Arabidopsis thaliana: one gene and its partners. The protein of the gene in region 1 interacts with the protein of each later gene in a pairwise test. Each region holds a gene or a part of one and is shown in the gene's direction. Other genes may lie near its edges.

Evidence for each region.
Region 2: the proteins of AT1G03040 (region 1) and AT3G20640 interact in binary tests that used the Arabidopsis thaliana proteins (3 or more experiments, as listed by UniProt).
Region 3: the proteins of AT1G03040 (region 1) and AT1G05710 interact in binary tests that used the Arabidopsis thaliana proteins (3 or more experiments, as listed by UniProt).

What each region holds. Positions count from the first base shown.
Region 1 is NC_003070.9:703,341-708,409, reverse strand, and holds AT1G03040 (basic helix-loop-helix (bHLH) DNA-binding superfamily protein), read left to right. Parts: upstream 1-1,745; 5' UTR 1,746-1,952; coding exon 1,953-2,309; intron 2,310-2,753; coding exon 2,754-2,876; intron 2,877-3,042; coding exon 3,043-3,108; intron 3,109-3,280; coding exon 3,281-3,346; intron 3,347-3,741; coding exon 3,742-4,131; 3' UTR 4,132-4,561; downstream 4,562-5,069. Other genes in the region: AT1G03050 (ENTH/ANTH/VHS superfamily protein), read right to left, coding at 1-106, 221-684; AT1G03030 (P-loop containing nucleoside triphosphate hydrolases superfamily protein), read right to left, coding at 4,842-4,928, 5,029-5,057.
Region 2 is NC_003074.8:7,209,792-7,215,065, reverse strand, and holds AT3G20640 (basic helix-loop-helix (bHLH) DNA-binding superfamily protein), read left to right. Parts: upstream 1-1,591; 5' UTR 1,592-1,866; coding exon 1,867-2,096; exon of another isoform or gene 2,097-2,148; coding exon of another isoform or gene 2,149-2,192; coding exon 2,193-2,880; intron 2,881-2,963; coding exon 2,964-3,080; intron 3,081-3,472; coding exon 3,473-3,535; intron 3,536-3,775; coding exon 3,776-3,841; coding exon of another isoform or gene 3,842-3,850; exon of another isoform or gene 3,851-3,957; coding exon 3,958-4,008; coding exon of another isoform or gene 4,009-4,020; exon of another isoform or gene 4,021-4,262; coding exon 4,263-4,412; 3' UTR 4,413-4,756; downstream 4,757-5,274.
Region 3 is NC_003070.9:1,713,062-1,717,808, forward strand, and holds AT1G05710 (basic helix-loop-helix (bHLH) DNA-binding superfamily protein), read left to right. Parts: upstream 1-1,756; 5' UTR 1,757-2,323; exon of another isoform or gene 2,324-3,134; 5' UTR 3,135-3,136; coding exon 3,137-3,247; intron 3,248-3,357; coding exon 3,358-3,423; intron 3,424-3,497; coding exon 3,498-3,674; intron 3,675-3,800; coding exon 3,801-3,962; 3' UTR 3,963-4,229; downstream 4,230-4,747. Other genes in the region: AT1G05700 (Leucine-rich repeat transmembrane protein kinase protein), read left to right, coding at 1-184; AT1G05720 (selenoprotein family protein), read right to left, coding at 4,616-4,688.

The sequences.
Region 1 (5,069 bases):
GACCACGATAGCCGTGGAGAGATCTGCCGCAGCTTGATCCTGTTCTTCTTCGTCAGCTTCTCCTCCAACGCAGTAAACTCCACGTTTCCCGTGTCTCGCTTGCATCCTCAAAAATTGCAATGAAAAAAAAAAAAAAACCGCATATCTTAGATATCATTCAAATTACATAAATAACTTGAAATCCCGAATCGGAACCTGGATCAAGCACAAGAACTCTTACCTGAAATCAAGCCTTTCGTCAAGGTACAATGCGTAAGTCCTGACAAACGCAGAGTAGTCCCAAGAATTAGACCTCGAAACATCCCTAAAATCAGACATATTGAGAAGCCTTGTTCCACGGCGAGTGGCGAAGAAGATCTCTTGCTCGTAGGCTTGATCTCCTTCTCCTAAGAGCCTTTGGATCAAAATCAAGGTTTTGAGGGCAACGGTCCAGCATTTGGTTTTATTAAGGCGTCTCGAAAGCGTGCTAACGCAAGCGTTGATGTAACTGCGTGAGTAAGAAGTTAGGCTAAGAATCTCTCTAATGTATTTCTCTTCTGCTGGAAACTCTTCGTGACGAGTGGCTTTGACGATGGCTACGTCAAGTTCAGATAAAGAAGCGCTTCGACCATTGACTTTGGCTAGACCGACGCTGGTTTGGTCCTTTACGGCTCCTATGGCTCGTTTAAACTTACTCGAACCCATTTTTATTCTGATTAGTTAGTAAATTTGTATTAAAGACAAAAAAAAGAAAAGAAAATATGTAAAAGAAAAGATTTGAAGAGAGAAAAGGGAAGAACGAGGCTTGTTTTTATTTTGTTTTTGTTTTTCCTCGTCGTTTCCTTTTTTCTCCTCTGTTTCTTGTTTAGTTTTGTTTTGTTTCTTCTTCTTCTTCTTCTATGTTTTTGTTTGTTTGTTTCGTCAATGTAGTTTCTTTGTTGTTCGTCGATTATTCACCATCTAAAGTCGCCGAGGTTATTGGAGGCTTTGTCCGGTGAGAAATATGGCCACGTGGCAAAAAATTAACTTATTGTTTGACGGGTCAACTGAAATTTAGTTTGCATTTGCCATTAATGGGTAAGGAGAAGAGTACTGATTAAAGAGGAAAAAACTTTCTTCTAATTTGTAAAAAAAAATACACCAAGCTTTTTTCTTATGGATTGGAAGCCCAAGATTGAATTATGGAATCCAACAAATCAAAATCGATCCAAGCCCATTTCTGCTGACATATTTTTTACTCGTATTATATTCAGAAATGCCACAATTTTGTTTTGTGAAAAATAGAAAAACCCTTGTCTCTCAAAATGGAAAACGAGTCGGACAACGGTTCAGCACTAAGGAGAAGCAAGTTGTAATACCATATGGCAAAATGAAACGTGTCATTTTTATATTGGATATTAGAAACTTTACTCCATGAGTGCTAAATTTCGGAAAAAACGACAAAGACAGATTTTTTTAAAAAAATCTTATTTTCTACCACTAACGAGATGACGACGACCCCGACAATGCGTAGAATTTTTCCCATATCATTTATATATTTTAAAAAAAGAAAGTTATATTGGTTTTTAACATTCTACTAAAAAGAGTTTGGTAAAAGACCTTTTTCTTAATTTGATATGAATAAATTGAAGAAAGTCAAAACAAAAAGCCCACTTCAAAACAAATAAAGCCCACTTCAAGTTTCTGGAAGGTATATAAGAACAAGGGCAAAACCGAAAATAAACCACAAAGTAAGGTCCTTTTAACAAAAATAAAATGAAAGAGAGCATAAAGTGAGTCTTTTTGTCATATCCTTTCTCGTCTGTGTCTCTTCGTCCTCATTAGCTTAAGCATCATCATTCTCTCACCTAACAACTCCACACAAGATTCTTCGCATGGAAAGTTGTTCTTCGACTTCTCTTCTCTAACTCGCTATCTTTTAACTCACCCAGCTCCACTGAGTCGAAAATTTCAAACCTTTACTCGTTTCCTTCATGGCTAATAACAACAACATCCCACATGATAGCATCTCCGATCCATCTCCTACCGACGATTTCTTCGAGCAGATCCTCGGGCTTTCCAACTTCTCCGGTTCTTCAGGTTCTGGTCTCTCTGGAATCGGCGGCGTGGGTCCACCTCCGATGATGCTTCAGCTTGGTTCAGGCAACGAAGGGAATCATAATCATATGGGTGCCATTGGAGGAGGTGGACCTGTAGGGTTTCATAATCAGATGTTTCCGTTGGGATTAAGTCTCGATCAAGGGAAAGGACATGGCTTTCTTAAACCTGATGAAACTGGTAAACGTTTCCAAGACGATGTTCTTGATAATCGATGTTCCTCTATGAAACCTGTAAGTTTCTCTTCAGAATCTTCACTTTGTCTTTTTCTTTTGTGTTCTCGAGAAAATAAAGTGAAATTCAAATCTTTAGGGTTTCAAAATGGTGTCGTTTTTGAGAAAACCCAGCTTAGGTCTAAATTTGATAGTTACCGAGAGTTTTTGGCTCAGATTGGTGAGATTTGATGTTTTTGAAGAAACCCAAGTTGAAGATTTTGATGTGTTTTAAAGTCATAACACTAAAATTAGTTTTGCAAGAAACTTTAGTATAAAAGAGTGTTCTTTTATGTCCAAATTATATTGTAAGAAAATTTGCTCTTTAGTTTCTTTTCTCATGTGGATAATTCCGTCATAGTTTGAATTGTTGCTATAACTACTCTAGTGGCGACCGTTCTTGTGAGAAGCGGTTTTTAAGCTTTTCTTAATGTTATTACGGCATTGTTTTGTGTTTTGTTGAAGATTTTCCATGGGCAGCCAATGTCACAGCCAGCTCCACCAATGCCGCATCAACAGTCTACTATTCGGCCTAGAGTTAGGGCTAGGCGAGGTCAAGCTACCGATCCACATAGCATCGCTGAGAGGGTAAGATGTTTGATACACTTTTTTTATCTTCTGGTCTCTTTTTTCGATTTTTATGTGATAATGTTTGATCAAAGCTTTAATTATAGCTTTTGGTTGAGAAAGTTCGATTAGTTCTTACTTACTAAGAACGGTAAGACCTAACCTGAATGTATTTGCTTTGCAACAGCTCCGAAGGGAAAGAATAGCAGAACGGATCAGGTCGTTGCAGGAACTTGTACCTACCGTTAACAAGGTTGGTATCTTTTTCTCTAGAGCTTCAGCTACTGTTTTCATGTCGCGAAGAGAGCTTGAAAGAGATTTTAAAAGTAGGGAGAAAACTAGAGTTGTCAATGAGAGAAAAGTTTTGTGATTGGCATATAGAAACTGCGGTATTCACATCTGTTTCTTTTGCTTTCCTTTTGCAGACAGATAGGGCTGCTATGATCGACGAGATTGTCGATTATGTAAAGTTTCTCAGGCTCCAAGTTAAGGTAAACACCCAAGTCATTTTCAGTTTTCTATTCTCTGGTTTTTGAAAATGCTATCATTAAAAGTTTGTAGAAAGATTATTTAAAACAGCCAGAAGGATTTAGTGGTGTAAATCCTTGGTCCCCACCACCACCTACTCTCTTAAACCAAACTTCCAATCTTAATAAAAGATTATAATTGTTTAATCTGGCAATAAAGAGTAATCAAAGAGTACATGATTGTGTGTTTTTTGGCATTAGTGTCTTTCACTTTTTGCTTGCTTCCCTCCCATGGAGAATCATCACAATTGAGGACTATTGTAATAAAGCTAATGAGAACATTGAAGAATATTTTATGCAATGATGGGCTTTGATAATATTTTTCCTTCATAAGCTTTATCTCTGGTCAACTATGGCAGGTCCTGAGCATGAGCCGTCTTGGTGGAGCCGGTGCTGTCGCACCACTAGTCACTGAAATGCCATTATCTTCATCAGTTGAGGTTAGACTAGAGAGAGATACTTCATTAAAAAAAGAACAGAACTTTGGTAATGGTTTTTCTTGCACTGACTTGTGGTGTAAAAACTTTCTTCAGGATGAGACGCAGGCCGTGTGGGAGAAATGGTCAAACGATGGGACAGAGAGGCAAGTGGCTAAGCTGATGGAAGAAAACGTTGGAGCAGCGATGCAACTTTTGCAATCAAAGGCTCTTTGCATAATGCCGATCTCATTGGCAATGGCGATTTACCATTCTCAGCCACCAGACACATCTTCTTCAATCGTCAAACCAGAGATGAATCCTCCACCGTAGATTTTTGTTCATCCAACGGTCCCCAGCTGATGATTGACATTTTGCTCTGTTTCCCACTACTAGACTTTTGTGACTCATGAAAGGTAAGTAAAAAGGCATTGGAGATGGAATCTAAGTAGGATTTGTGCAGTAAAGAAGTAAAACGGGATCTGTCAAAAGAAGGAAAAAGCTCTCGCTTGCTTGGCTAGTATTTATCATTTTGATGAAAGTAACTCTTTTTTGTTCAAAGACTTTAGTGTGATTTTCAGGACCAAGGGCTTTGAGGGTAGTGCTAGCTGTAGTAATAGTAATGAAGGTGTGGGATCGTGTTTCTGAATTATGTAAAAAAGGAAGAAAAAACAAATGTTGGTATTATATTATGGTTTTGCCTCTCTTTTTTTTCTTGCACTAATTTGGATAGACCATTTAACTATTCAAAATGATATAGTTGGGAGCTGGACTGATTATAATTAGGTAATTTCCCGCGCATTCAAACACTTTATGCATTAGAACTTCTAATTTAGAAGTATAAAACACATTGTCTGAACAAAATCCGTGAGTATGCAGAGAACACTAGCATACACAGTTTACTGCGAACAAATTGCTTATTGGAAGTTTCCGTTGCAAGAAAAAGACATTGTAGACCAAAGGCAATCTTCCCTTGAAGCGCAACATTGTCTTTTGTTATTCATCTTATTCTGTTTCGTCCAATAGCCCCCTTGAAAGTAGATTCAAATGTTCATAGATCTGATCAGTAGATCAGCGTTTGTCTTTGACTTTATTATCAGCTCTGCGTTGGGTCGGTCATTATAATCCACCTGCCATCCAAATTTGAAAAAAAGAAGCAGCTAGCTACCTTGAACAAACCATTGAAACCATGTAACTGAATATTAAGTAGAGTAGAGCCAGAGCTTTTACCCGCCATTTAGCAACATCTGGGGGTTTACCTGTAATTCACA
Region 2 (5,274 bases), on another chromosome or scaffold:
ATAGTCACTACTCACGAGCTCAAGTTACATGGGTGAATTTGCAATGGAATCTTTCATTTTCTTGTAAATGTTGCACGTTAAAAAATGGTGGTATTCTTCTTCTTCTTCTTCAAATTATAAGATCACCAACTCAATGGAATGTTGCCGTGGAACTATTGTGTCTCCAATGGCAATCAACTTTTAATAAGTAAGTAATCGTTAGTACTTCGCTTGTAATGTTATTTTAGAGAAATGAACAATCAACACCCCCATTCATTTTTCTTGAATCAATGTAAACTTATATTCAACTCCAAAAAAAGTATTTTGTAAATTATATTCAACACCCCATTCTAAAAGGTAAATTACACCACCAAACCCACATTTTCGATTATTTTGGTTTGTAAACAATTATTCGAATGGTTTTATTTATAAATCGGGTAAGATGGATTCAGTAACTCCAAAATGATTCCAATGTATCTTCAATGAATTTAACATTACAAAAAAAAAAAAAAAATGATTCCAATGTATTAAGAATGTAATGTTTTAGACAGAAACAGGATCATGCAAACTGTAAAAAAAAAAAATTTGCGGTTGTAAGAGAAGAAAGTACGTATGTGATATATTGTTTGACTATATAGAAATTACAAACACTAATGCGAATATTAACAGCAAAATTCAATATCAATATATATGACTTCTTTTTTTTTGGTCGAGCTCGTTGAGAATTGGAAAATGAGAAGAGACAAACGTTAGGCAAAAGAAAATGATTAGGGAGACGACCAGTGAATAAAACACAAATTATATACAATTAATCTTCTAAAAAGTTAAGAGAGAAAATTACCGTAATTAACATTAAGAATAAAAGATGCCGAAAAGAAAAACAAAAAGATTTTTTAAAAAGAAAAGAAAAGAGAAGAGTCATATTCAGGCTCTGACTCTGAGACGAAACAAGTGGGGTCCAAGTGTGAAAGCACGCGCGCACGCCACGTGGAGCCCACTCGTTGACTTGCTGTGACTGGAAAAAAATAAACGCTGAAGTTTCATAGCCAAACTCAAAGGCCAAAATATTAAAATGAATAGAATTATTTTAAAAATATCTCAGTGGTTTGTGACTATGACTGTGACCGTGACTGTGACCCGCTCCTTCTAGTCCATCCTTGGTCTCTCTTGCTTAAAATAAGTCAAATCCATTTCAACCTCCTTTTTTATCCCAAAAATCTATCTACAAAGTCAATTTGTATTTCCTCATTAGCTAGTGTTTTACTTCTCAATGTGAAATACTTAAATCTAGATTTATTTTGTTTTCCTATCAAGTATCAATCATTACTAGTTAATGAATTAAAAGGTTGTTACATTTACATTCACTAAATTGAAGGATGTTAATACAAAATATATTTTACAAAATGTTGTTATTGTATCATTGCGAGTAGGGTGACCAAAAAATAAATTAAATTATAAAGAGTGATATAATATATGCTTGCAAAATGAATAAAAGGAAACTTTACCAAAATATAAAGGAAAGTAGGAGAAATGAAATACTTATTCTTTTTAGTTGTAACCAATGGAAAAATCAACAATATCTTTAGTAAAACAAAAACAGAAGTTGGGAATGACGTGGGCAAGAGAGTCAGCGAGAGCCACCTGAAAAAATGTCAACCAAACATTAATCGGATGTCTTCACTCTTCATAAATAGTTCACGAAAACCCTACCAGGAAAAAATATCCAATTTAAATTGATAAATATTTATAACTATAAGTATCTCTCTCGTGTGGATCCTCATCATTTCATGTAACCACAATCTGAGAAGACACAACAAATTAAGATCCAACATCAATACACACACACATATATATATATATATATATATAGTGAGAAAAAAAGAAGCTATGGGAGATCATCATGATTTCATCAACTCAGGAAGCTGGTGGAAAGTATCTTCTTCTTCTTCACCATCTTCTTCTTCTTCCATGAGAGCAAGCTCTATTGAATCTGGTGGTTCTGCTGTTTTCCATGATAAGCTTCATCATCATTCTTTAGCTACTGATCACCATCTTCAGATGATTGGTTTAGGACTTTCTTCACAATCACCTGTTGATCAATGGAACCAATCTCTCTTGTAAGTCTCAATTTTGTTTCTTTTTTTTTATTTGGTTTCAGTCATAAGATTTATGTGTTTTGTCTTTGTTTTCTTTTTCTTTGCGGGGAACAAAAGACGAGGAGATAGTAAAGCGGAGACAAGCTTTGGTGTGATGCTTCAAGAGAATCTCAATTTAGATGCCACTTCAAACGCAAACGCTAACACAACGTCATCCACATCTTCTTACCAGCTGCAAGAATCTGATTCCTCTCACCATCATCAAGCTTTGTGGCGAGATCCACAAAGCGATTTCAAACCGCAGATTTTAACGAGTGGTGGTAATCGCGGGTTTTTCTTAGATCATCAGTTCAGTCCTCATGGTAGCTCAAGTACCGACAGTAGCACAGTAACATGTCAAGGTTTCGCTGTTGACAACTCGTCAAACGCCATGTACGCAGCAACAACAACAACTCCTAATTCATCTTCCGGTATGTTTCATCATCAGCAAGCAGGTGGTTTTGGCTCTTCTGATCAACAACCGTCGAGGAATCATCAACAGTCATCTCTTGGCTATTCTCAGTTTGGATCATCCACCGGAAACTATGATCAAATGGCGTCAGCGTTACCATCGACTTGGTTTTTAAGATCTTCTCCGCCGCCAAAACCACACAGTCCTTTGAGATTCTCTAATAACGCAACGTTTTGGAACCCCGCGGCTGCGGGAAACGCCGGTGCTCCTCCTCCTCATGACGCGTCTTCTAACTTTTTCCCGGCGTTACAACCGCCGCAGATTCATCCGCAGAGTTTTGACGAACAACCAAAGGTATATATTTATAGCTACACGAACTACTTTATTTAGATTTATGGATATGATCTATATAATTTATATGTATTGGTTGGTCGTAGAATATATCGGAGATTAGAGATTCAAGTAGCAACGAAGTAAAGAGAGGAGGAAACGATCATCAGCCGGCGGCGAAAAGAGCTAAGAGCGAAGCAGCGTCTCCGTCACCAGCTTTCAAGGTATTTTGCTTTGTTGATATTATTTTTTAAATAAGGGGAAAATAAACAATAAAGCTTCTTTTTGGTATGAAAATAAAAGCATCTTTAACGACATTGAAATAAAACCAGCTTTCCATGGTTTTGCCAAAACAATCCGAATCTTTCTATTAAACAAAACCGAAACCCTAATTTGAACAATAAAATTAGGTTTATCATTTACCACCAAAGTATATGCATGATAGGATATTATGAAACATTCTTTTATTGCGAAGTTGTTTTATTTTATATCAAGAAAACAAACATTCTTCCCACAATTCTTGCATAATTGCTTATACTAGATCTCTTTAGTTTTTTTACTTCATAGTATTTTTTTTATAACAAGGATTTGTTTTGATAAAATTTTGCTGAATTAGAGGAAAGAGAAAATGGGGGACAGAATCGCTGCGCTCCAACAATTGGTTTCACCTTTCGGAAAGGTACTATCTCTCTCTCTCTCATTGTCTGCAAATTTTTGCTTTACCTTTCAGAAAGATGATGAGTGTGTATTAGTATATTTGTATACTGTCATTATTACTTATCATGTTATTGTTATTATATCTTTATGGATTTATTTTATATGTAAGGTCTATTTCAATAGATATTTATGTTGGAGATGAATGAATGATATACCATTTCTTAGATTTTGTTTTACTGAATCTCATGTGCTTTTGTGTCAGACTGATGCAGCCTCAGTGCTCTCTGAAGCCATTGAATACATTAAGTTCTTACACCAACAAGTTTCTGTAAGTTAGCCCACTCCTTCGTATTTTTAGTACACAAACATTTTCTGCTACAGTTTAGTTAGTTATTGTATTTCTTCTACTGATGTACAACAAACCTGCAAATGATTATAACTCAGGCTCTGAGCAACCCATACATGAAAAGTGGAGCTTCTTTACAACATCAACAGGTAATATTTTAATTATATAATTTTATGTATACATTATTAAACCATTATCATACTGTTATTATTATTATACCATTGAATAAACGTATGGCTCTCGTTCGCATTCTTTATTACATGTATTTAATATGGTTGCTTCATCTTTAAGATTGGACAATAAAGCATTATTCCAAGAAACAATGTAGCGAGACGGTTTTTGCAACGAAAAAAGAAATCATTTGCAACTTATATTTTTTCTTTGTTTTCTAATGATGATGCAGAGTGATCATTCCACAGAGCTAGAAGTATCAGAAGAACCAGATCTTAGAAGTCGAGGTTTATGCTTAGTGCCAGTTTCAAGCACATTTCCAGTGACACACGATACTACAGTAGATTTCTGGACTCCTACATTTGGTGGGACTTTTAGATAGATATATAGACGGAAAATCGTATATTAGATGTCGGGTAACGTACGTATCTTTTTTAACTTATAATATATACGTTGATTGCTGATAAGAATCACCGCATTTTTAAACGAAGAGGAGATAAGTTAATGGACAAGTGAAACGTGTTGTCCATTTATACTTCTTATTCATAGAACTAAAAAATAATGTGTAATTGAAGAACCATGCATAGATATATAAGAGCTATTGAGATTTGACATGTATTTTTTCACACGACCAAATTAATTCCAAACATATATCTATAGGTTTTTTTGGGGGGTTATAATAGTTATGTATGAAAGATAGATGTTTTTTTTTTTTTTTTTTTTTTTTTTTTTTAACATTACCTTCATTTATAAAACGAAATCGAATACACACCGCCTCCAAAACGAGTAACACCTACAAAACAACAAAGAAAAGTAAAACAAAGCATATGATCAAATAAAGAGACCGAACCAAGTGGCGAGGTACGATAAACCATTGGGGCCAATACGTTGAGCTCGTGAGAGAGGATCAAGATGAGTGCGAATAAGATTCTTTATCTCCATAATCAGTCCAGCAGCAGGTCTCGAAGAAGAAGTGTGCAGACGAGTGTTCCGTTCCCTCCAAAGAGTATAAACATTGATTCAGAGAAGAATAGATGTTATGTATGAAAGATAGATGTTAAGTTATTCGTTAGAGAAGAATGTAGGGATCTATAATGTAAGTATTGTCTTCATTGATTCAGAGAAGGAGAAAGGTGATTTAATTATGGAGAAAAGGAGCTTTTGTTTCTTCCTTTTTTTAGCTATTCTAATTTTTGAAAGGGAATAATTAGATTCCACGAATAAGAGAGAGTAATGTGTTAATA
Region 3 (4,747 bases), 1.0 Mb from region 1:
TGATGTGAACAATGTTATAGATTCAAAGATGGCGAAAGATTTTGATGTAAACTCTGTATGGAAAGTTGTGGAGCTTGCATTATCCTCTGTTTCGCAGAACGTCTCTGATAGGCCAAACATGCCACATATTGTTAGAGGATTGAATGAGTGTCTTCAAAGAGAAGAGAGTAACAAGAACTATTGATGTCACAACGCAAAGGGTGTAGAATAAGTCAAGGGGTTGGAAACAGAAAGATGTTGAAAACTTGGGAGTGTTTATATATTTAAATTTTTGAAAGGCTTTTTAAAGTTTGTGTTGCTAATGCTATATCTAAAAGCCCAAAGTAATAATGTAATGGAATAGAAAAGAATCCATAATAAATAGGAAAAAACAAAGAAAAAGTACCTAATCCGGTAGCCACAAGGAAAAAAGAGGACAAGAAGATGGTGACAACAAGACAAAGACCGAAGCCGCGTAGGACCCCAAACGTACCTTTTAAATAAAACGCTGATTCCTTTCGGACTTTTGCGTCGCACGGTCTGTGCCGCTGTCCCCACAAATCTCTATTTTTTACACACGCAATCTCTACCTCTGCGTCTGCGTTTCGAAACGTGACTCTTCTAACCGCTCCACGTGAGTGACTTTTAGAGCGAGTTTGGTGTCCGAAACCACGCGTGCGCGTCTCCTCAACGCCTGAGTCTCTCTATGAAGTTGCATTGACGTCAGAAAAATTAAATTTGTCTTACTTGAAACATAAAAATTTACAGTAGTAAATTATCATTTTCATAACACTTCATTTATTCTCTTGTAGTTAAACAACGGATATACTAATGAAATGAACTCGTTCAATCTAATTAAAATCTCATTATTAATGGTAGACGCTAGAGAATCTCATTATTGTAGGTGTTAATTTATGAAAATAATACATCACTTTCAATCACTGATTTGATTAGATTGATGGATTTTATATACAGCCCATGTTTTTAACCTCTCTAGTTGAAATTTTGGTTGATTTTAAAGAGAAGAGAACAAAAATTCAAAGACGAAAAAAGCAAAAAGTGGAAAGTAGAAACAAAAAGACTGATGGTGCAGAGAGCTGGTCAAATATGTTGACAAAATAAAATAACCTTACAATGTCACTATCATCAATAAATGAAAAAATAGTTCTCTCTATCTATCTATAATAATAATAATAAAAGCAACTTCTACCTGGGACTGATATTAACTACGAAGACCTCTCACTCTCTCAATGGGTTGTATAATAGCTGTCAAATTATGATGTATTTAGTCACAAGACAAAAGACTGATTCTGAACACTAAAGCCTAATTAGGGATTAGTCTTTACTCTTTAGTCATCTGTTTCATCTTTATTATTAAAGTTTGCAGGAGTTGTAGTAGATGGTGTGGGGGCAATATATGCAGAACATGCATGCTTCCAAAATGTCCTAACTACGTCACTTAAGGTTCCATTTTTTTCTATCTAAACTAAGAAATACTTATGTATCTATTAATCTACATCTAATTGGTTGTCAAAAAAAAATGTATCATAGAAGTCTTTGGAGCACATAAATAAAACATCTGGAGATTTTCTGAACATAATGTGAGGTCAAGAATTTGTGTGCAAAATTACAATTTTCAGGCATGAGTGGCTCTGATTTTGACCATTTGAATAAATTTGTAGCTTGTTATAACCTTTACACTCGTAAGGAAAAAATTATCAAAAAATATTGATAGTCGATAAAATTGAAAACTCTAGATTTATACAAATCAATAAATAAATTTGAAAATAATTAAATGAGAAGTAAATGACATTACTTCACCCAAAAAGAGTCTAGACGAAAAAGACAGACATAAAAATAAGTCCCCTTCTATTTGTTTGGAGCATAAACAAAAACAGACACAGTTTCTTCTCTCTCTCTCTCTGTCTCTTTCCTTTTCTCACGCCGAGATTTCTGCGACTGCTCTAATCTTACGACCTTATAAGAAACGACGCTTATTTTCACTCTGCTTGAGCTCTTCATCGTGTCACACAGCACGATCTTGGACGTCGTTTTAAGCGCAAAACAAAGGAAAAAGACTGACGTTTATACATACTAAATACTGGTTTGGAGTTTTGCCTTTTGGACTCAGAAAACTCAAAAGAGAGAGAGAGACATTTCTGTATCTTATCGGGTTTTGTGTTGTCAGAAAGAAGCTCAAGGACAAAAAAAAAAGCAATTATTTTTAGGGTTCAAACGAAGCAAAATTTGGAACTTTCAGAAGTTGTGGGTGGTGGCTTCTTGAACAATAAAGCTTTTTCTTAGACTCTTCTTCCAATTTGTGACTCTACCTATCTCTCTCTCCGTAAGCTCTTTCTCTCTCTCTTTATTCGTTCTTTCTTTATTTGCTCTGTTTCTTTACTCCATTTTTGGCTTAATTACACCAAATTTAGTCTGCTAAAAGCTAATTTCAAGCATAATTACTTATCTCTCCTCTTCTTGTTGCTAACCTTCAGTTGGATTAGGTTTTGATTTCGTTTATACGACAATCCCCGTGACTGAAAAAGTTACCAACTTTGATAGATATCGTTACCAGATTCTACTCATAGTTTTGTTATTGTAATGCAAGAAGTTGAGTTCTTGTTTACATTAACTTCAATAATTCACTGAGAGTGACTTTTTGTTCTCCTCTGATCCGTGGAGGATTCTCTATATGTGTTTTGTTTTTTGGGGGGGTTTTCTCCTGTTTTTAGGGACTCTATTGATTCATGCATATATGATGTTATTCTCTGTTTATGAGTTTATGCAAATAATCTAAGCAAGGTATGATAACATATTTAATCTTTTTGTTTGAGCTTATAATTGTGCTTAGAAATCTTAAAATAATGCTTAAGCTGATGTGAACTTGAGGCCTAGCCTCTGACCACAAATCCTAGCCTACTTCGTTGACCATACCTTTGTCTTGGCTTAATATTCTAAATTTCTCTTCCAAATCCTGTCTCCCAATGCATTGGTTGGTCCAAAACAAGATCATCATTTCATAGATCTTGTAATCTTTCTGGTCTGTAATTTGCTCTAGGATGGTAACCTTGTACCCTATGTAACATGTCTTGTTAGTATAAATTTTGGGTCATGTTGTGTTGATGACTCTTTAGCGCATTTCTTATTGACAAAAGGTATGGAATTCTCTAGAGACGCTGGAATGATGATGGAGAATAAGCGGAATGTCTGCTCTCTCGGAGAAAGCAGTATCAAACGCCACAAGTCTGATCTCTCTTTCAGTTCCAAGGTTTTGCTTATCCTAGCTAGTTTTCATGGATTTCTCGGTCGAAATAGTCTTCGGTACAACAAATTGCATGGTAATGATCCGTCCATCTTTGTTCTCTTAATGGCAAACAGGAGAGGAAGGACAAGGTTGGAGAACGTATTTCAGCTCTTCAACAAATAGTTTCCCCTTATGGAAAGGTAACTTTGTTTTTTTTGGCAAGCAAATCAAAAGAATCTGTCTCTCAGCTCATACTTTTCTCTAATGTTCACAGACCGACACTGCATCAGTTCTTCTAGACGCGATGCATTACATAGAGTTTCTTCACGAACAAGTGAAGGTCTGCAGTTCAATACCAAGCATGATTCATTCATCTTTATCTGAGTTCCCATGTTCTTTTGTACAGGTGCTAAGTGCTCCGTATCTGCAAACGGTACCTGATGCTACGCAGGTGAGTATGATCTTGAATCTCAACTTCATTTATACTTAGTTCACTAGTTCTACTCTGCATCTGACAGATCTTCACTTGGAACTTGAATACCTTGCACGGACTGATTTTCCCGTCTTTTGTAACCAGGAGGAGCTGGAGCAGTACAGCCTGAGAAACAGAGGATTATGTCTTGTTCCAATGGAGAATACAGTTGGAGTTGCTCAAAGCAACGGCGCTGATATATGGGCGCCCGTGAAGACTCCTCTATCACCAGCTTTCAGTGTCACATCTCAATCACCCTTTAGATGACCAATTCGACTAATCACCTACTACGATCTTTGTGTTAAGCCTAAAAAAGAATGACCAATTGTTATTTTTCTGATGATGCCTCTGTAACATATATAGACAGAGAGCACATGATGTTGGTTTAGAACAGCTCATGGTTGGCAATGATTGTTATTATTATTCGACTGCTTAATGCATCCCCTTACTTTGGACTTGTGTAATATGCCCAAACAGGAACCAAATGATTTTAATGCAAAGTAATCTTTATCCCAAAAAATGCCTCAGATATCTTAAGCTTTTCTTTGTGTGATTCTTACCTACAGCATCCAATACATTATTCTAGATCTAAAGACCCAAGGCAAGCTTTCTTTCAGTGCTGAAGGTATGATCGTGGATTTCCCTAATACATATAGCTTTCTTTCAGTGCTTGTAATAGTGCCAAACTGCTGACCACAGAATTAAGATTATCCTTTCATAAGAACATTGGATTAAATACATTACCACTGAGAATTGCAAAGGTTCAGAACATACAGACTGTTGATACCAAGGGACCAAATAGCTTGGACAAAGATAAGATAAGTCGGTCATAATGTGTTTTTAACTACTAGATTGCAATGCTTTGGCATATGTAAATGTGACAGGGAGGATCATCCTCTTCAGCTCTACATGGGATAAAACTAACTTGCTGCAGTAGGCTTGACCTTCTCTCGCATATACTGCAGTAGATGTTCGCGTTTCCAGTTGTCGATTCTGCAAAACAAGCAAATCAAGAAACAAAGAGGTCAGCTACAACCTTGGAGGAATGAAGT